Caenorhabditis elegans: one gene and its partner. The protein of the gene in region 1 purifies or fractionates together with the protein of each later gene. This does not show direct contact. Each region holds a gene or a part of one and is shown on either strand. Other genes may lie near its edges. The genes, in order: fask-1 and Y54E10A.6.

What was found.
Region 2: the proteins of fask-1 (region 1) and Y54E10A.6 fractionate together in Caenorhabditis elegans (co-fractionation; one large-scale study listed by BioGRID). This does not show direct contact.

Annotation. Positions count from the first base shown.
Region 1 is NC_003282.8:13,098,890-13,107,672, reverse strand, and holds fask-1 (RAP domain-containing protein), read right to left. Parts: upstream 6,959-8,783; 5' UTR 6,958-6,958; coding exon 6,861-6,957; intron 6,424-6,860; coding exon 6,338-6,423; intron 6,292-6,337; coding exon 6,045-6,291; intron 5,449-6,044; coding exon 5,319-5,448; intron 5,268-5,318; coding exon 4,584-5,267; intron 3,828-4,583; coding exon 3,521-3,827; intron 3,467-3,520; coding exon 3,380-3,466; intron 3,332-3,379; coding exon 3,158-3,331; 3' UTR 3,046-3,157; downstream 1-3,045. Other genes in the region: B0564.2 (Fe2OG dioxygenase domain-containing protein), read right to left, coding at 1-14; rde-11 (RNA interference defective protein 11), read right to left, coding at 1,065-1,248, 1,297-1,399, 1,459-1,669, 1,725-1,830, 1,883-1,993, 2,045-2,151, 2,205-2,333; exos-4.1 (Putative exosome complex component RRP41), read right to left, coding at 7,154-7,333, 7,548-7,958, 8,015-8,146; tin-9.2 (Mitochondrial import inner membrane translocase subunit Tim10B), read right to left, coding at 8,143-8,149, 8,200-8,386, 8,436-8,550, 8,604-8,630.
Region 2 is NC_003279.8:3,158,804-3,170,581, forward strand, and holds Y54E10A.6 (B3/B4 tRNA-binding domain-containing protein), read left to right. Parts: upstream 1-4,884; 5' UTR 4,885-4,888; coding exon 4,889-5,017; intron 5,018-5,153; coding exon 5,154-5,286; intron 5,287-5,787; coding exon 5,788-6,614; intron 6,615-7,305; coding exon 7,306-7,527; intron 7,528-8,417; coding exon 8,418-8,630; 3' UTR 8,631-9,254; downstream 9,255-11,778. Other genes in the region: vbh-1 (RNA helicase), read right to left, coding at 961-1,064, 1,120-1,304, 1,352-2,412, 2,481-2,793, 2,840-2,890, 2,936-2,986, 3,115-3,332; mrpl-17 (Large ribosomal subunit protein bL17m), read left to right, coding at 4,013-4,219, 4,281-4,382, 4,435-4,710; dnc-6 (Dynactin subunit 6), read left to right, coding at 9,409-9,422, 10,292-10,465, 11,203-11,449.

The DNA of each region.
Region 1 (8,783 bases):
TCAGCACGGGACATCTGAACTCGTATTTTTTTTGGTTTTGAAATATATTTAAAAATATTCTGATTTAGCAGATTTCAGAAACTTGTATTTAAAGGCGCACGGATTAGTTTGTATGGGTCTCGCCGCGAACTTTATAATGAATTTTTCAAATTTCTGTGTTTTTATCCAATTTCCCCAGATTTTATGGTATTTCAAAAAATAAAAAGGGGGCGCACCGAAAGCCAAAGTGTTTCTACAAATAGTAACAATTTTTCGTGGTGAGACCCATGTCAATAAAAAATTGCGCCTTTATGTATTACGGGAACATAAAACTCTGAGAATGCGTATTGCACAACATATTTGACGCGCAAAATATCCCGTAGCGAAAACTACAGTAACCCTTTAAATGACTACTGTAGCGCGGGTGCCGATTTACGGGCTCGATCAACGATATTCCATTTTTTTGGATTTTTTGTGACGGCTCGATTTTTGAAATGAATTTCTTTTCGAATAGTTTTTTTCGTATCATTTTCTCATTTTTCTCATAATTTTAATATTCTATCGATAAATAAATGATTTTCAATTTATTTCGAAAATCGAGATCCCGTAAATCGACACCAGCGCTACAGTAGTCATTTAAAGAATTACTGTAGTTTTCGGTACGAGATATTTTGAGCGTCAAATTTGTGGCAATTTTGTTTCTGAAAACATATAAAATATAAAACTGAGGTAAAATCTACACACTGGATGTGAAATACGAGCAATTATGAATTTCTAACCGAAACATTTATTAAAAATCAGTACCAATTGAATTGTGGCGAAGAAAAAGCAATTTTGAAATTGTGGGGAAAATACAATTATTAAAACAAGGCAATTATTGACAAAACTTGACACGTGGAGCAGTGGGTTGAAATCGGAAAATGATGGTTTTTGAGTTGGGAAAAAACTTTTTTGGGTGGTTATTTTACATGAAAAAGTATCACAAAAGTAGTCTGGTGTTGACAAAAAGGGTAAAAAGCTTCTTTGAAATTCCAAAAGTCGTATTAATTAATAAAATAATTACAGTACATGATTTATTTATAAAATTAGGCCGAGTTCATTTCCAAAGTGTGCTCTTTGTCTTGTTGGTGCCAGAAGGGCTTTTTGAGTTTACGGACACGGATCCTGCAGGGCTCGAAAGGACAATACTTGATTTTTTCTATAAGTGGTTCAAGGTGGTGTTTGTTTCGTTCGTACGCATCCTCCAGATTTTGGCACATCACATGACATCTGAATATCAATATTAATTTCTTTAAAAACGTTATAGTTTTTTCTCACCCGCATGGAATTAGAACGATTCCCATAGTACTGCTGTTTGGACTGCACAAATCGAAAGGACACGGACCTTGCCGCAGTTTGAGCTGAGTTGGTTCACTAGTTACTGAAATTTCAAGGCAATATATATATATATATATATTTGCTAAAATCTTCTTTACTAACCCGGTTTCAAGCACACGGAGCAGGGTTTATCATTCCAAGAATTCAAGCATTGCTCACAATAGACGTGTCCACACCCGAACATGACTTTCGATGTTTGGCAATTAAAGTTAATGTAGCACCCGACTCGTTGAGGTGGCTGGCCCATTTTCCGATGTTTCTTCATGAGCTGGAGTGATCCGTATGCCTTCTCAGATAGCACCATGATATTTGACTGGAAAAAAATACAAATTTTATTAATCAAGCATTTGTGGGATCTTAGATCTCACCTCTTCCACCGGGAGAATCAGGTAAAGTTTCATTGATCGTTTCGATGGTGGCATTAGTTGTCTTGGTACCATCGTCGTGTTTTTTGTAGAGATACAGTCCGTCCAGCTGAAGAAAAATGAATTTTAAACTAGACATTTTTAAATTAACAGGCGCCTACCAATACGAAAACCCATCTTCAGGATTATTGATATTTGTGAAAAAATCCAGTTTTATATAGTCGTTTTTTTGTCGAGAAAGGTCCGGCGCCCTCTGTCCATCGTCTTTTGTCCTGTAATAGACATTCTATTGTTAACACTTCCACACTTCCGCCAAAACTCACCACATAGGGAGTCCGAAATCCTGTGCAACGGATCCATCAAGATGTGCAACATTTTTCTTTTCTGTGTAGTATAGGAGCTTAAATGGCTCAGCAAGCTCGACGTTTTTCTAAATTCTTGAAATTGATATCGAAATCGAAACTATTAAAAGGCGAAAATTACCTTAAAAATCACGTAAATTGAAAAATGGATTTTTCGTCTGGCGGTCATCGTCTCGAAAATGTCATCAGCGACAATACATACGGGCTTTGGATCCACGCCATCAGCAAACGGTGGAGTGATAACATTCATGTTCTGAAATTTCTGCTGTAATTAAATTAATTTAAATTATCGAAAAATTAAAAAAAAAGAGACCTATTGGTTGATTGGAAAAAGAAATGAAGCAAGTTTTCAGGAACTAAAATGTAGAAACTAATGAATTTAATGAATTTTAGAAAGATGATCAGAGAAGAAATGATCAGGGCCGGAATGTCACTCGAAATTGGGTCACGCGCGTGAATTTTTAATTTTAGTTTTTCCCCGGTTTTTTCTTTTAGAAAGTGGACAAAACCGTTTGTAGAGACCTCCAGAGGTCAAGATCAAATTGTCACAAAAAAAAGTATAAATATAATCACGTATAATCACGCCAGGCTGTCCCATCACGGTTTGATCTACAAAAAATGCGGGAATTTTTTGCCAGAAAAAAAAGTGACGTCAGCACGTTCTTAACCATCCAAAATAAGTTGAGAACTCTGCGTCTCTTTTCCCGCATTTTTTGTAGATCAATGTAGATCAAACCGAAATGAGACACTCTGACACCACGTGATAAGATCTTAAATATAAGACTATTTAAATTTGTAATTGAAACCTGAAAATTGCCACCCAAGAGAAAAGAAAAAATAGAAGAAAAAACCAACAGGAAAGACAAATAAAATTTGATCAATAAACAATAAATTCCCGCAAAAATATTCATATTCTGTTCAAAAGACAGTTCACAGAAAATTCTAAAATTTCATCGAAACCTTTATAAATTTGTTTTATTATAATCTCAAATCTAAAAAATATTGAATAAAAATGAATAACAACAAAACAATAAAGACTAGGGGCGCTAGAAATATAATCTTTTATCAAAAAAATTAATTCTTCTTATGTATTTTATCCCGTAGCAGATTCACTTGATCAATTTCTGTGGAGCAATAGTCGAGTTCCGTTTTGAAGACGACTACTGGATCGAAGCCAGCGGAACGCATCAGTCGAAGTCCCAATTGTTCTTGCCCAACTGTATTGATTTCGCCGCTCGTTTCTGTGTTCTGAAATTTAGAATTTTATATGATTTTATGAGATTCGAAAATGCTTACCTGTTTAGTTTGCAACCATCCGTAGAAAAATAGAGGCCTGGGTTTTTTCGAGCCCCATTGTGATGTGTTCACTAGCAAGTTGGAATTCTGAAAAAAAAAACATTTTTTTTCAAAAATATTTTTTAATTGAAAATAATATACCGGATCTGGCATAACATAGGCATCGACAAAAGCTCCACAATCTTCAACATTCGGAAGTTGACAATGAGTATCTTGTGGAGCAAGTTTGAATAATGACTTTAAAAAATATCGATCGCATTCTGAATGATTGCTCGAATATTTCAGTTGCCTCGCGTTCCGAATCGTTTTCGCGTCGAAATTGATTCCAAATCGAGCAAATGTTTCCTTATTCACTGTTGGTCCTTCGTATTTTCCCTGCATATCAACTTTAGCCGCTGAACTGATCATTAGAAGAGTCATCGCTTTTCGGAGTCGATCGTGAATTTCCCTGAAAAATTGGGAAATTATTGACAATTTTTGATATTATAAATGGGGATGCAGAAAAATGCCTTTTGAAAACACTCCGCCCTTAAACCTTGGGTCTCGTTAGGTATTGACAATAAGGAAGTCAGTTTTTCAACTTTTAAAACTAAAATTGGAGAAAAAAAACCACATTTTGGCCTTTTTTTGGAAAAATTATATGTTGTTTTTTCATCATCATAAACAAAATTTGAATTTTTTGGTAAATTTTCAGCATTTTTTTCGAGTTTCTGCAAAATCGACTATTTTTAGTTTTCCCTAGCAAAAACCGAAAAAGCAAAAAAAAATTGGCATTTTTTTCGTGTTTCCCAGCATTTTAAATTTATATTGTGATTTTTAAAAATATTTTTCTTTTAACTTAAAAAATTTTTAAAAACTTTTTTTCTAATAATTTTAATGTCGAAATTGAGATAAAATTCATATCGATTTTCCGGAGTTTTCGAAAAATCTTTAGAAAATGTTTCGAAAATTAATAATAAAAATTTATTTGTTTGCTCATTTTGAAAAAAAATCAAAATCATTGTCTTCAAAAAAAAATCCTAAATTTTTAAGCAATTTTCGAAAAAATCGAATTTGTTTAGGAATGTCGCAAAACTAAATTTTTGATTTTTGAATTTTCGGAAAAATCGGAAAACCGAAAACCTAACGAGACCCAACGTTTAGTTGCGGAGTGTTTTAATTTGGAGCGCGTTTGCACCTCTTCAATTTCCAAATAATTTCTTACATTGTTGAATTCATGATTTGATCTACAAAACTCTTATTGAGCACCGAATCCGCATGAACTGCTTCAAGTTCTTGAAAATATGCAAGAGAAAAGACGATATTCAGCCAATTGTTGGGCGTCGAAGCTTTTTCCTTCACCAAAAATGGTTTGAGCGCTTTTGCCAACGGTTTTCCAGATGGTTCTCCAATTCTAGCGAGCCCGGAGACAAATTTGCTCAATCGAGCCGGATGTGCTTGCTTCACATTTTCAATTGCCCATCGAACAAGAAGATTCCATGACTTTTGATCACCCATTCTCATACGAATAAATGAATCGGCAATGCTGAGCACATCATCCCATTGAGCAAGAACATTCGAATTTTTCTCGAGGTCGTTGGAGATTTTCCGTGCAATTTTTGGTGGATAATAGGTGAGAGCAGAACATGAGCCGGTGACACTGACAATTTGTGATACTGTAAGAACTTGACTGGAACTGGAAATCGCGTTGATTATTGCTCCAAGTAGCTGTCGATTTCTTTGCTTATTCACTGCCATATGCTTCAAAAGAGCACATTTTTCAGCCATTCCCATTACTGCTACAAGTCGTTCGGCTTTTTTGAGGAACGCTTCGTTGTGAAACCATTTTGATTTTTCGTATCCATCACCGGCGAGAATTGCTAGGAGATCTGCAGGATTTGCCAGTTCTCTGGAAAATTAGATATTAAATAGAGCTTTTAAATCTAAATTATTTAATTACTTTTCGATTCTAGAAATCAATGAAGTCGCAATAGATTCGATAACATTTTGATCGATTGAAGATTTTGAATATCGAATGATCATCACAAGTGTGTCAAATGGAACAGTTTGTAGATCGGATTGACTTATTTCTGAAATTTTACGTTTTATTTGAAATATCTTTCGGAAAATGTTTAGGAAAACGCACAATACTACTGAAAATCAACTTTTTTTTTTCTAAAATTGATGAAAAGGATTCGTTCCATCTGATAAAATATTATTAATAATTTTTTTTGTTGAAAAATTTAAATAAGGCCACTAGGCCTCACCTCTACCTTTAGGTTGAGCACCGAAATCTGAGAAAAATATTTTTGAATCACTCCAAATTTTCTCCTTTCACTTGCGTCCAAATGAGATTTTTCAAACGCCGAATTTTCGCGCCAGAGACGAGCCATGTGTCGATTTACGAGAATTTTAATCTTTATCAGATGCTGATTTCTGTTTTCAACGAGTTTCCTTAATTTTCGTCGATTTTTGCCGAATTTTTTTTAAATGAAAATGTGTTTTTAAGTCAATTAAACATTATATTATCAAAAAACTAACAAAATTTCCAATTTTTCATTTTCAACAAAACTAAAAATTATTTTCAGATGGAGCGAATCTTTTTCTACATTTTTTAAAATCAATTTTAGATCAAAAAAGTAGAATTATCATATTCAAATAAGTAGTTTTGTTGGATAAATCATACTTTTTTCAAGGAACAAATTCTGAATATCCGTCGAGACTTTTCCCTTTGAATTCAGCTGCAAAACAAATCGCAATGCATCCACTGTCTCCTTCGGTCCAAAATTTTCATAGAATTTCGGCAGAACTTTCTTCGCAATATCATCAATTTTCGAAAACGCCTTATTTTGTTCCGTTGATTTCACAGTGATAGCCATTTGTGCAGCTGTGATGAATTGATCAATCGATTTTATGGGATTTTGTTCGAGCCACTTAAATAATTGAACAATTTAAATGGAGCTTAAGCTTATTGAGTACCTTGAAAAATTCCGTCGAAGTTTCTAATACAGTTCTGTTTTTCACGAGCTTCTGTGTTGGAGCAGCGGCGATGGAATGGAGGAAATCTGGAATTCAAATATTTTTTGATGTTTTTTGCATTATTCTACTTTTTTTTACTAAAAATAACCCGAAAAGCTTATTGCGAAACTTCAAAAATGTCGAAAAACACTTGATTTTAGCTAAAATCTCACATTTCGCAAAATTTTTCAAATATTTTGCCAAATTTCCCTTTTATTAAATTTTTGTCTTATTTTGGTCATTTATCACATGTTTTTTCGTAAAAATTGGTACATTTAAAGCCAAATTTGCTTAAAATTACCCTAAATTTACGAAATAACGTAAAATAAACCAAAGTAGCACAATAATCGAATTAAAATTATTTTCCGGCCGCTCTAAAGTTGGTCAAGTTGGAGATTCTAGCGGAAATTAGCTATTTTTTGAAATTTTTTTGACAATTTTAATAAAATTCTGGCCATTTAGAGCAAAAAAAATCTGCACCTACCATCAATTTCTGCAGGACCAGCTCCACTTTGAGCTGCGACGGAAAACTGACGACACGGAATCGTCCTGCAAAGCGTGGGTAATCCACGGCTCCACATTCTAGATATTTGCAATTTTTTTAAAAAAATATCAAGATTTGAACAAGAAAAGTACGAAAATGAGACGGAAACATATAAAATTTTACAAAATTTCTAAGATTAAATTTGAAAAAACTGATTTATCGACTGCAAAAAATGGGTTTAAAAAAAAAGGAATAACAACTCAAAACAACAATGAATAAGAAAAAAAGAACAGCTAATTGCCTAGAATCGGAGCACAAGCTTTCAGATGTTGCTGAGCAACTACTGCGAGACATTCGTACACGTCAGCACACGTGGCTTTCGCTGCATCCATGACTGTGGAAAGATGATCAATGTGAAGACGATTTTGAAGTTCCACGAGAATCACTTCGTCACGACCGCAGATTGTGGCGAGCTGAAAATTTTAAGCAATTATTTTTTAACGAAAAATCGAAAGTTTGTGTTTTTTCCCGATTTTTCGGAAAATAACTTAAAATTTTGGACATTTTTTTTTTTAGAATAGCAACCAAAATATGATTTCGGTTCCCGGAATATTGAAATTACGGCAATTTTTGAGAAGTCTCATTACAAAATTCATTAAATTAGACAATTTTTCAGCCTAAACATACAGTAACTCTGGGAAGGAGATCAGTTTCTTCTCTAGAAGTAAGATCAACAATTGGTTTTCCATCGACAACACCACACGTCGCTGCAGATGCGATGCCTTTCATTGGGATTCCTGCATCAGCAAGAGCCAAAGAAGTTGCATTGACACAGGCGGCCAGGTTGGAGCCGTCTCCTTGGATTACTTCACAGAAAATATCAAGTTGTGATCGAGGAAATGCTTCCGTCAGAATAACTGATTCGAATGCTTTCTCAAGAAGTCTGCTGATTTCAGTTGATTTTCGATCTCCACGTGTACGATTTTTTCTTTCAAGTCCCGAAAACTTTGTTGCACTATACTGACAAACAATGGCACATTTATCTTCGATTCTTTTTGACGATTTGCCTTCATACGGACCATAAACTGCACAAAGAACCTGAAAAGAGAATAATGTAACTTGAAATTAAATTCAAAACTTAAAAAAAAACCAACCTTGGTATTACCATGTTCCAGATAACAGCTTCCCTCCGCATTTCTGTTCAAGCCAAGACGAGTGTTAATGTTACGAATCTGAGCGGGACGGCGGCCGTCAATACGGAAACCATGTTCAGAGATGATGTTCATTGTCTGCAAAAGATTATTCGTGATTTTTTAAAAGAAATTATGGAAAATCTCACTTATTTTCTTCAATAACTGGAGTAGTTTCAACAGGAGTGGCTTCTGGAGCTGGGACCGCTGGCTCTGGCTTAGCGGATTTGATTGCTTCGGTTGGCGATTGCTCTCCTTGCTTGAAAAGTGCTTTTGGTGCTTGTTCTGCGAATACTAGCATAAACCGACGGTTCACTAGCATCTGCTTGTCAATACCTGAAATTTTGATTACAAAATCGTGTTTATACAATACAATAAATCTTACATTGACTGACACAGGACCCTTCGTCCTTTGTGAGTGTTGATGTGGTGTAGTCACGAGCGCAGGCGTTGAAACAACGTTCGCTGAGAGTGTTGTAGACGGTTAGAAATTCACGAAGCTGAAATTAAAGACATAAATGCGCGGGAGAGGATTTTCCTTTTTTCTGAGCACCTGTTGAATATTTTGAATAGTATTCATAAAGCATAAAACAGTCAACGCCCCGAAATGAGAATAATCTGAAATTTGAAGTTAAGAAAATGAGTAAAAAATTAAATAAAGAGAAAAAATTTGCATGCAAAATGCAACAAAAAAAACAAAAAGTTTCTGTGTATTTTACCGTCACGGTGTTTG
Region 2 (11,778 bases), on another chromosome or scaffold:
CTATTGACGAGACGCATATGATAGTGCAACTTGAGTATTATGAAATGGTTGGTTCTATGATTTTCGTGTATACTGTTTAGAGGGAGAAAAAACAACTAACAATGAATATTACTTGGCTCAAAAAAAACATCAGTTGGAGGGAAAAATGATAGAGATTTGGGGATAGGTGGGGGGAGATCATTATCATAAGAGAGCAACCAAGCTTTTTATACCTAACTCGCAATTATTTAATGATAAACTGACGATCATACTGGCGAACAATTATGAAAATATAATTAGACACCCGCAGCTATACCAAGTTAAGAATTGAATAATTGCAAGACGAATGGTTGGGATCAGATTGGGGAACAAGTAAAAATTAATTAAAAATACACACAATATCACGAATCAACAACGGGCAGCACTATGTAAACGGGTTTCAACAAAGCTTACAAACAACCGATAATAGAGAAAAACCGTGCTGAGTCCCCGACGCGGTAGTGCATCGGATGCCATCCAGCGGCCATAAGAAAAACTACAAAACTACGAGATAAAACTGCATTGATTCTCTCGGGGTATTGTTGATGCAAGAAAACAACACCAAGAGAAACAAAACAATGGTACAAATTGCCAGGCAACAACAACATTTTTGGGGGAAATGGGAGGATACAATAAAATTCAATGTTAAAACCCTAGATCACGCATAGAATCCATTAAAATATTCGTCACTTAAAGCTCTGAGATAAAAAAAATTGAATGATTAAAACACAATTACAGAGAGAATAATATGAAATAAAAGAGAGGAATAAGCCACGCTTTAAAGAAGGAGACAGAATAAAAAAGAGAAGGAGGAAAAAATGATTATTTTAATATGGATGGAACGAGTAAAGGAAAAAAGGAAGACAACTAAATTATAAAAAAAGGAGTATGGTGCGAGACTTTAATGTGGAATTCCGGATTTCCGTTTGTTGCGAATAATGTTTAAGCTTGTGGAGCTTGCCAATGATCAATTGGAGCCTGGCCTGGGTTTGAGTAAAAACCTCCACCGCCACCACCCTGACGGTTCATTCCACTGTTGAAGCCACCTGAAATCAAGGAATTGATTAATTTTGCATTATTTTCTTTATTTTCTCCACAAACCTCTTCTTGGGCCACTGAAGCCGCCACCGCCACCACTATTAGAGGTAGACGACAGAGAGCTATGAGCTCCGAATCCTCCATTCGTGAACGGGCGACGTGGTGCTCCTCCTCCGAACGAACCACCGTAGGCGGGTCCACTTCCGAAACCACCAGTGGCTCCACCGGAATTGTAATTTGAGAAGTTTCTGAAACTATTAGCAATATTAATTTTCAACTGCTCATTTGATCTTACCCTCCGAACGATCCACCACCACCACGACCAACACGATAGTCGGTTGCTCCGAAGCGACGGTTTCCACCACGTTGTCCACCTCCAATGCGTCCTTCTGCAGCAACTTGATGAAGCCATTCTGGGACTTCTTGGTTGGATTCGACAATCAGATTCTTCAAATCACGACCGATTCCTCGATTCTTGTCATTGAAGAAACTGGTGGCAATTCCAAGGTTTCCGCATCTTCCGGTTCTACCGATACGGTGAACATATTCGTCAGAATCTCCAGGAAGATCATAATTGATGACGTGGCGCACATTTGGAATATCCAATCCACGAGCGGCAACAGCAGTTGCGACAAGAATTGGGCACTGTCCAGAGCGGAACAACTCGAGATTTCTCTCACGTTCAATTTGTTTGAGATCTCCGTGAATTGAAACAGAGCGGATCTGCTGACGATTGAGGAAATACGCCAACTCGTTGGCTCCTCTCTTTGTCTCAACGAATACGAGAACCAGATTTTCAGAATGCTCGTTCATCAGAATTTCCATCAGATTGCTTCTCTTTTCCATCTCGTTGACCCAAAGCAGACGTTGTTCAATATTTTCAGACGTTGATCCAACACGACCAACTGCCAAAAAGATATAGTTATCCTTGAGGAAGTCCTTAGCGAGAACTTGAATCTCCTTCGGGAAGGTTGCACTGAACATAGCTGTGGTACGAGCAGTCTTTGGTGGCATTCCTTGGCCAACGATCTTTCTGATTTGCGGCTCAAATCCCATGTCAAGCATACGATCAGCTTCGTCGAGAACCAGGTAACGACATCCGGCGAGTCCAATGAATCCTTGCTCAATAATGTCAATCAAACGACCTGGGGTAGCAATGAGGATATGCGTTCCAGCGCGAAGACGATTCACTTGATCACGATAGTTTTCACGTCCTCCGTAAAGAATAGCCGTCTGGATGTTGCTTTTGTAGCTGAACTTTGTAGCTTCCTTGTGGATTTGAATGGCAAGTTCACGAGTCGGCGAGAGAACCAGAGCACATGGATAGTAAGTGCGACGACCGTTTGTGAACGCTGGCTGCAATTAAAATAGTTTTTTGTATAAATTTTTCGAATTTTGATGGATCGCAGGTTTGCCCTACTTACCGGCTTGACCATATCTGGACCACCAGCCAAAATATGCTGAATAATTGGGAGCAGGAAAGCGGCAGTTTTTCCAGATCCGGTTTGAGCGCAAGACATCAGATCGCGGTTAGCCAAAAGAGTTGGGATCGAGTGTTTCTGGACAGGAGTCGGCTTGGAGTATCCGCTGCGATTCACGTTCTCCATCACAGCCGGCCCAAAACCAGCTTCATTGAAATGCTCGATGGCTGCTGGAACGGAGTCTCCGCTGACTTCTACGGGAATATTTTCGTACTTGTCAAAGTTGATGCCACTGTCGGTACGGTGGAACAAATTGCTGAAATACCATATCGCGTTTAATAATCAGAACATTTTAATCTCACCTTTCGGAATATTCGGCAGGTGCTCCTCCCCATTGATTACTCTCGGCTCCACTGTAACGTCTACTAATAAAAATTGTAATTCAGATTTAAACATACTTGTTGTTGAAACCGTTTCCGCTGTCGGCGAAGTTGTTGTACCCAGACGATCTGCAATTTCAAGATTTGATAAAAGAGAAGCCTCATTTCAGGTTAACAAAAAGCAACAAAGGAAATGAAGAACAAGCATATGGTTAGAGGCAAACACAATCACCAGCACACTATACACCTGTTCTCACCCATTCTCATCGAAGTTTTCAAAGTTTTCTGAGTAGCCCATTTTGAAATGCTGCTGCTGTTGTGGCTGCCCTTGAAAGTAAGGAGAAGGAACAAATCCAGCATGAGGAGCACCCATCATCTGCCCCATCCCTGGGACCATAGGTTGTTGAATTGCATACCCGTTGTTTGACGGAGTTCCGTTGGCGAATCCGTTGTAAAATACGCCTCCTGCAGGCATATTATTGCTCTGTTGAGAATACGAGGATGACCAGCTGAAAAAATGAGGTTGAAATCTTGAAATCCGTTTCGAAATCATACCCTTGTCCCTGTTGTTGTTGTGGCGGCTGTTGTTGACCGTTGTGATTCGCATAATATTGTGTGTTCATTGTAAGACTATATCAAACGGAAACCCGGAATTCGAAAAAGAAAAATCGGCGAATCTAAACCGATTTTGTACCCAATTGACGTCGAGATTACAGAATATGTATCTGAAATTCATTTTATTGGCTTGTTGCGAAACAAATGAAGTTTTAAGACGGAGAAAATGAGTATTTATCATTAATAAACGACGAATTATCATTTTTCGCATAATTTAACTCGAAAATTATGCGAAAAACGATGACAATGGAGAAAATCGACACGAAAAACCGTAGAGAAGAAGCGGAAATGAGAGAAGTGAATTCAGCACGCAATGATGAAGAGACGTTTGTTTTCCCATCGAGACCCGCCGACCGTGTAAATCGGTGCGCCTTTAAAGTGCGTGTGTGAGGAAGCGTGTTTCAACGCAAAAAACGCTCCGAAATTTCGCGAAATAGAATTAAATTTAATTTTTATTAGAATTTCTATTGAAATATATGGGATTTTATTCAATTTTTTGAATTTCCGACTCAAAATTAATAAAAAAAAGATTTCCAGGCAATGTCAGCTCACCGAGTGGCAGTGTCACTGCCAAGAATCGGCGTCACAATTGGTCACGCACCACAAAAGCTGAAAACCGGAGGAATTGAGCCAAGCCGTCGTGCTCGTCTCGAAGTGCTCCGTCGCATCGTCACCCGAACTGTCCGTGAGGAACGCGCCGAGCTGAAATGGAACCGCGCCGTCGAGGCCAGGCCATATTTGGAGAGGGTGAGGGGTTTTTTGTTTGAAAATGAGTGAGAAAATTAAAATTTAAAAAAATAAAATTCAGCTAATTCAATTGGGTGTCGAAAGAGGACCACTTGACGAGTATACAGCCGAAATGATGGAATGGTGGCTGCCTGAGAAGGATTTAATTACGAAAATGCATGAAGTAAATTGATTTAAAAAGATTTTTCGCCAAAAAAAAATCATTTTTTTCCCAGGTAATTGTTCCACGATTCCAAGACCGCGATTCTCCATTCACATCACTATTCCGACTTCCACCACAACGTCTTCAACAATTTATCCAGAATAAGCGAGAAGTCTGGAAGCGATACGATATCGGAGTTCTGGAAATCGACGGAAATCCATTTCCACAAATACAAGCAGACCGCGTAGATCAATCTGAATCAATTCTTGATGTTCTTCTAGCTGACGCCCTTCGGAATCACCAGAAGAATCTTCAGGAAAAGCTGGATACTCCGAAGAAATCTCAATGAATTTTTATTATTTTTTTTGTTTTTGTTTCGCTAGAATCCTAGAATTTTTGTTTCTTTATATATTAAACTTTGAATCATTTTCAATATTTATAACGAATTTTGTGGTTCGATTCAATTATTTATATCTTTATCTAATTTTTTTCCCACTTTTTCACCGAAAAAATTAAAATTCAGAATAATGTTCGAAGAGCAACCGGAGGTAATAGAGGCGATCGAGAATAATCGCTTCGAAATTGTCATCAAAAATGTTCGAATCGATTCGGTCACCGAAGCGGCCAATCTTTCCCAGAAACGGGTTTTCGAGAGTGTAAGGGAATTTTAATTTTTGGAAAATCCGTGAATTTCCGCAAAAAAACGATTTTTTTCTCGGAATTTCAAACAAATTTTTTTTTTGTAAATTTTATAATACTAAATTCCCATCAAAACCCAAAATTTATTTTCAGATGTCCCAATTGAATCTCCTTTCTCTCACTGGATGCTCTCTTCACAATCTTTCGTCTTCGATTAGATCTTGCAGTAATCTAATGCATTTGGTTTTGCCGAAAAATGATTTAAAACAGCTTCCAGACGTTTTTGGTGTGTATTTTGTGGATTTTTTTTTGTTTTTTTAGACGGAAATTAGTCGAAATATACCAAATATAACTGTTAAATAGCATATCTTTTCAATTTCGCAACAAAAAATTTGAATTATTTTGAATGACATGATTTCGAAATTAAATGTTTAATTCCGGCAAATTGCCGGTTTGCCGGAAAAAAATAAAATTTTAAATTCTTGCGAATTGCCGATTTGCCGGAAATTTTCTATTTTTTCAAGTATGCCGATTTGCCGGAAAAAATTAAACTTTGAATTCATGCAAATTGCCGATTTGCCGGAAATTTTCAATTTTAATTTCGCGCAAGTTGCCGGTTTGCCGGAAAATTTTTTAAAATTCCGGCAAATTGCCGGTTTGCCGGAAGTTCTTAAAGGGATTTTTTAAAAGATAGTGTGCCTACAATTTAATTTTAGGCAAATTAGGCAAACTGCCAACTTGCCGGTTGCCGATTTGCCAAAACAAATATAACTATGAAAATTTCCAGATTGCTTGCCAAAACTAAAATTCATGGATCTTTCACACAATCATCTGGATGCTCTTCCTGCTTCAATTTCAAAATGTGAAAATCTTGAATCTCTAATTCTCAACAACAACCGCCTCAATGAATCGAGTTTCCCGGATATATCAAATCTCTCGAATCTTCATATTTTCGACGCCGCTCACAACACAATTTCCAAGATTCCTGCGTCTCTCACTTCTCACAATCTTTCTGCAAAACTCCATACGATAATACTCTCTCATAATTCAATTGAAGTGATACCGGATAGTTTGAGCAATTTGAAGCAATTGAAAGAGCTTAAAATTGATGAGAATAAGCTGAAAGATGTTCCGAGTGTGATTGCACACCTTCCCAAGTTGAAGGTTTTGGATATTTCGAAGAATTGCTTCTCGGAGAGCAGATTTCAGAAGCTTGCCAATGATAAGCGTGGGAAGCTTAATGCAGTGATTGCTCTGGCTCAAAAAATTGGAAAACCAATTGGAAATTCTGAAGAGCAGAAGAAAGCTCCTGAATCCGGTTCCCCCGATTTTCCAGTTCCAGACGCCCCACTCACAGTCCGTACTGGAATTGAGAATTTGACAGTTCGTAGGCATCCCAGTGTCTCTGAAATCCGACCATATCTTGTTTGCTGTGTCATCAATAATGTTGATCTCAATGGAGGAGACTCGTTCAAGAAATTCATTGCTCTTCAAACGAAAATGCACGCGTCGGCTCTCTGTGAGAATCGAACTCTTTCGGCTATTGGAACGCATCGGCTCGATTCTTTTCAGCTTCCACTTTGTTATATGGCTCTTCCGAAGGATGAACTATATGTACGATTTAAAAAAGTGAAAATTGAAAAAAAAAACATAAAATTTGAGAGAAATTTCCGATTTTTTTTCAAAGAAAATTGAAAATTTTCAGATTTTTTTCGAAAAATGTTCGAATAAAAAATGTTTGAAATTCGAAAATTTTATACTTTTTTTTCCAGAGAAAACCCACAAATGTTATCTGAAAAAATTGAAAATTTCCGATTTTTTCAGGAAAAATTGAGAAAAAAATGTTTTACATTTTTTAAAATGTTTAAAACTAAAATTTTCGATTTTTTTTCAGAGAAAAAACACTTTTTAAATTGTTTCTGAAAAAATCGAAAATTTCCGTTTTTCCCTGTAAAAATTGAAAAATGTTCGATTTTTTGAAGAGAAATTTAAATTTTCTTTTCTTTTTTTTAAGAGAAAACCGAGAAAATAATACTTTTTTTTGATTTTTTAAACAGCAAAAACAAAAATGTTTCGATTTTCTCAAAAAATTAGGAAAAATGACAAAAGTAAAACTATTTTTAGAAAAATCTTTTTTTAAGCTGAAATTTTGAAAATCAAAAAAAAAACCTGTTAAAACCGGCAATTTTAGCAAAAATTTTTAAAGAAAATTAAAAAAATTTGTTTCAAAAAATTAGCAAAAATGAGCAAAAACTAATTTTTCCCCACTGCTTCCTCATTTTCCAAAAAAAAAAACCATTTCCAGATCCGTGCATTAAACAAAAAATCGAGTGTAAGTGCATCTGAACTGCTGGACAGTCTTCTTCGTGACGCTGAGCTGGCCAGAAAACGGAGCAAGAGAAGTACAGTTGATCCATTGCACAAGTACTTGCATATAGTAAAGGATGAGAATATTCTTGCGTGTCTTGTAGACTCTCAACAAATTGTTATTAGCCTGCCACCGATAACCAACTCGGATTGCACAAAGGTTCATTATTATGGAAAATTTTGAACAGTTTTAGTAAAAATGTTTTTGAAAAATCTTATTTTTTCGAAAATTTGCTTCAAAAATTAAGAAGAAAGAGCTTCATTTTACACATAATTTGTCAATTTTTAGAAAATTTTCCCCGTTGAGGTCAGTTAAAGATTTTTAGCAAACTTAGAAAAATTATGAAACAACGGAAAAAATGAAAAAAAAAAAAAAAAAAACACAGAAAATTTTAACTAATGCGTATTGGGCAATATATTTACCGCGCAAAATATCTCGTAGCGAAAACTACAGTAGTTCTTTAAATGACTACTGTAGGTCGATTTACGGGCTTCGCTTTTTGAAATGAGTTTCAGTTCGAATTGTGGCCTTTTCTAATTTTCGTCCAATTTTTCTTCTTTTTTTTTATATTTTCAACAATTAATTACAAAAAAACGATTCAAAATCGCTTTTCCACTGCTTTTCTTGTTGATTTTTCAATAAAGTTTCAATTTCACTGGTCTTTTTCTCTTTTTTCGAATTGGATAGCATTTTCATTCGAAAAAAAGAAAAACACAAGAAAAACTCAAACTTTATTGAAAAATTAACAAGAAAAACAGTGTAAAGCGATTTTGACTCTTTTTTTGTAATTTATTGATGAAAATTTAAAAAAAAAGAAGAAAAATTGGACGAAAATTAAAACCGCTGCCACAATTCGAACAGAAACTCATTTCAAAAAGCGAAGCCCGTAAATCGACCTACAGTAGTCAATTAAAGAATTACTGTAGTTTTCGCAACGAGATATTTTGCGCGTCAAATATGTTGTGCAATACGCATTTTCTCAGAATTTTGTGATATAGTAATAAAAATTAAAAATTTCTAGTATTTAAAATTGGAAACAAAAATTTCAGCTAACTGTGGATACCACGAGCATCTGGGTAGAAGTATCTTCGAAACAATCACTGGAAGCATGTAAAAAGACAATGGATGAACTGATTCTCTCAAGTCGTCAGATATTCCCAACTCTTTCAATTGATCAAGTCAGAGTTGTCGACAGTGATACACTTGTTTCAATTTATCCCGACAAAAATGACCTTCCAGGAGTCTCCCGGATATCTAATTAAAAATTTGACAAAAAAATAGTCTTAAATTCAGAAAATCCCCGAAAGAAAAATGAAAAATCAGAGTTTTTGACAAAAATGAGCGCTGCGACCAATCAGCGATTTGCTCCGCCCACTTTTTGACCAATCAGGATTTTCGGCGCAATTCTACTGGTTGTTCCAACATTTTTCATTGAAAATTAGTGTCAAAATATGGAAATTTACTATCAAAATGTATAAATCGATCTTTGAATTTTGCAAAAATTTTTGTCGCACAGAAATTGAGGCGGAGCTTGCTTTCGCAACACTGCCGCACGGGCAACAATTTTTGCAAAATTCAAAGATCGATTTATACATTTTGATAGTAAATTTCCATATCTTGACACTAATTTTCAATGAAAAATGTTGGAACAACCAGTAGAATTGCGCCGAAAATCCTGATTGGTTGAAAAGTGGGCGGAGCGAATCGCTGATTGGTCACAGTGCTCAATTTTGCCGAAAAGTCGGTTTTTTTTGGAATTTTTGAGTTTTTTTTTTTTGGATTTTTTTCCTTCCTTTTCACCTAATTATTTTGTTTTTGTTGTTACCATGTTTCTTGTTGTTTCTCCCCGATTTCCCCCGCTGACACTAGAATAAAAGTATCGTTTTTGTCGTGGGAAATGACTATTTCCTGTCTCTCGCTCTCTTTTTTGTCTCCAATTGGTTTTTTTTTGAATATAAAACCATGGAATATTTGTGGCGAGAAATTGTGCAATCTGTCGAGAGAAGTAATGCAATTTTCAGAAAGAAACGGATTTTAGAAATGACTGAAACTAGGTGAGTTGGAAAAAAATTAATTTTTTAAATTTAAAAGTGGAAAATTTTAGATTTTTCTTCAAAACAATTGTTTTTTTTTTGAAAAGTTCCAGAATTTTCTGGAAAACAAATTCTGAAATTTTTTAAAGAATTTCAGGTAAAAATCGAAATTTTTCGATTTTTTTAGAGTGTCTAGTTTTAAAATTGAAATTTCAAATTTTTTTAGAGTGTCTAGTTTTAAAATTGAAATTTCAAATTTTTTTATCTCAAAAAAAAAAATTGGATTTTTTTTAAATTGCAACAGAAATTTCCAGAATTTTCCAGTAAAAAACTTTAGAAAATCTGGAATTCCAAGAAAAGGAACACAGTTTTTTTATTAAAAATTTTTTTTGAAATTCTGGAATTTTTGGAACTTTTAACAAAAAATTAGAAAATCGAATTATTTTTTTTTCATTTTTTTTTAAATTAAAACCAAAAAAGAAAAAAAAAGCTTTTTTTTTCTCGTTAGAAAAGTTTCAAAAAACGTAATTTCTGAAAATTTGTACAATTTTTTTGGAAAATTCGGATTTTTTTGATGTAAAAAAAAATTTCCAGAATTTGTTGAAAAAAAAAGAAAAAAGAGATGTTTTTAGGCATTTCAGAATAAAAAAATCCAAAATTTTCCACTTTCTTGTCAGCAAATCGAAAAAAAATCCAAATTTTTTTTTAGAAAATCGAATTTTGAAATTAAAATTAGAATTTTTTAAAATTAAAAATAATAAAAAATCCAAATTTTCGATTTTTTTTAGAAAATCGAATTTTAAAATTAAAATTTCAATTTTTTAAAAATTAAATCGTTAAAAATCGAAAGAAAAAAAATTAAAAATCGAAAAAAATTGCAATTTTTTCAGCACAGTATCCATCGCCAGTAGTGCAATCGTCTGCGTCGAAGCGGATATAAAAGGAGAAGTTATAATTAAAGAAGGCTGCGTCGTCCATCCATTTGTAGTGTTCGACGCCACAAAAGGCCCAATTTATGTTGGAGAAAATAATATTTTTGAAGAATACGCAGTTATTCGGAATAAGTATGTTCAAAACATATGATACAGGAATCGCCAAATTGCCGGTTTACCGATTTGCCGGAAAAAAACGGCAGTTTGCCGGAATTTTAAATTTAATTTTTCTGGCAATCCGCCAGTTTGCCGGGATTGAACACTTCCTGCAAATTCGATAAATCGGCAATCTGCTGGAATGGAAAATTTCCGGCAAATCAGCAAGTTGCCGGAATTTAAAATTTAATTTTTCCGGCAAACCTACTTGTTGCCGGAATTTAAAATTTCCGGCATGCGGAAAATCGGCAATATGCCGAAAATAACAATTTCCGGCAAACTGGCAATTTGGCGGAATTCAAAATGTAATTTTTCCGGCAAATCGGCAGTTTGCCGGAATTATAAATTTAATTTTTTCCGGCAAACCACCAATTTGCCGGGATTGAAAATTTCCGGCAAAGCTGATATCCGGCATGCGGAAAATCGGCATATTGCCGGAATTGAAATTTCCGGAAAACCGGCAATTTGGCAGAATTTAAAATTTAATTTTTCCGGCAAACCGGCAATTTGCCGAAAATAAAAATTTCCGGCAAATCGGCAAATTGCCGGAATTGAAAATTTACGGCGAACCGACATATTGCCGGAATCGAAATTTGAAATTTCCGGCAAATCGGTAAACCGGCAAGGTTTTTTCCGGCAAATTCGGCAAGAATCTCCATTTCAACAGAAAAATTTTTAGGCAATGTTTGAGAAAAAAAACGATTTTTTTCCAGCAGCGACGGTCAACCAATGATAATCGGTGACTGGAACATCTTTCAAGTCCACTCGAAATCCAGTGCAAAATACGTTGGAAGCCGGAATGTGATTGGTGTGCATGCGGTGCTCGAAGACGGTTGCTCCGTTTCAGATGACTGTAGCGTTGGAGCCAAGTGTACAGTGTTTTCCCATCAAAATCTGGAACCTTCTGTGTCTGTTTATGCAGCCACGAATTTGAGTAGAACGACGAAAACGCCGAATATGGTACGGGAAATGCTGCTTTTTTTTCGCAAAAAGCGGCGCCGCACAGAAATAGAGGCGGAGCTTAATTTTGCAACCATGCGGCACAGTTTTTCTTTCTTTTTTTCACCCATTTCCCACAGTTTTCATGTTTAATTGTTTTTTATATGAAAAAAATTGAATAAAACAGGTAAAATTGGAAATTTTTTGAAATGAAGTGAAAAACAGTGCTGCATGGTTGCGAATTTTCGCTCCGCCTCTTTTTCTGTGCGGCGCCGCTGCTTTTTGTGCAAAATTCACGGATCAAGTGTCAGGGGTGGGCGGTAAATGATTTTTCAGGAAAATCGGCAAAC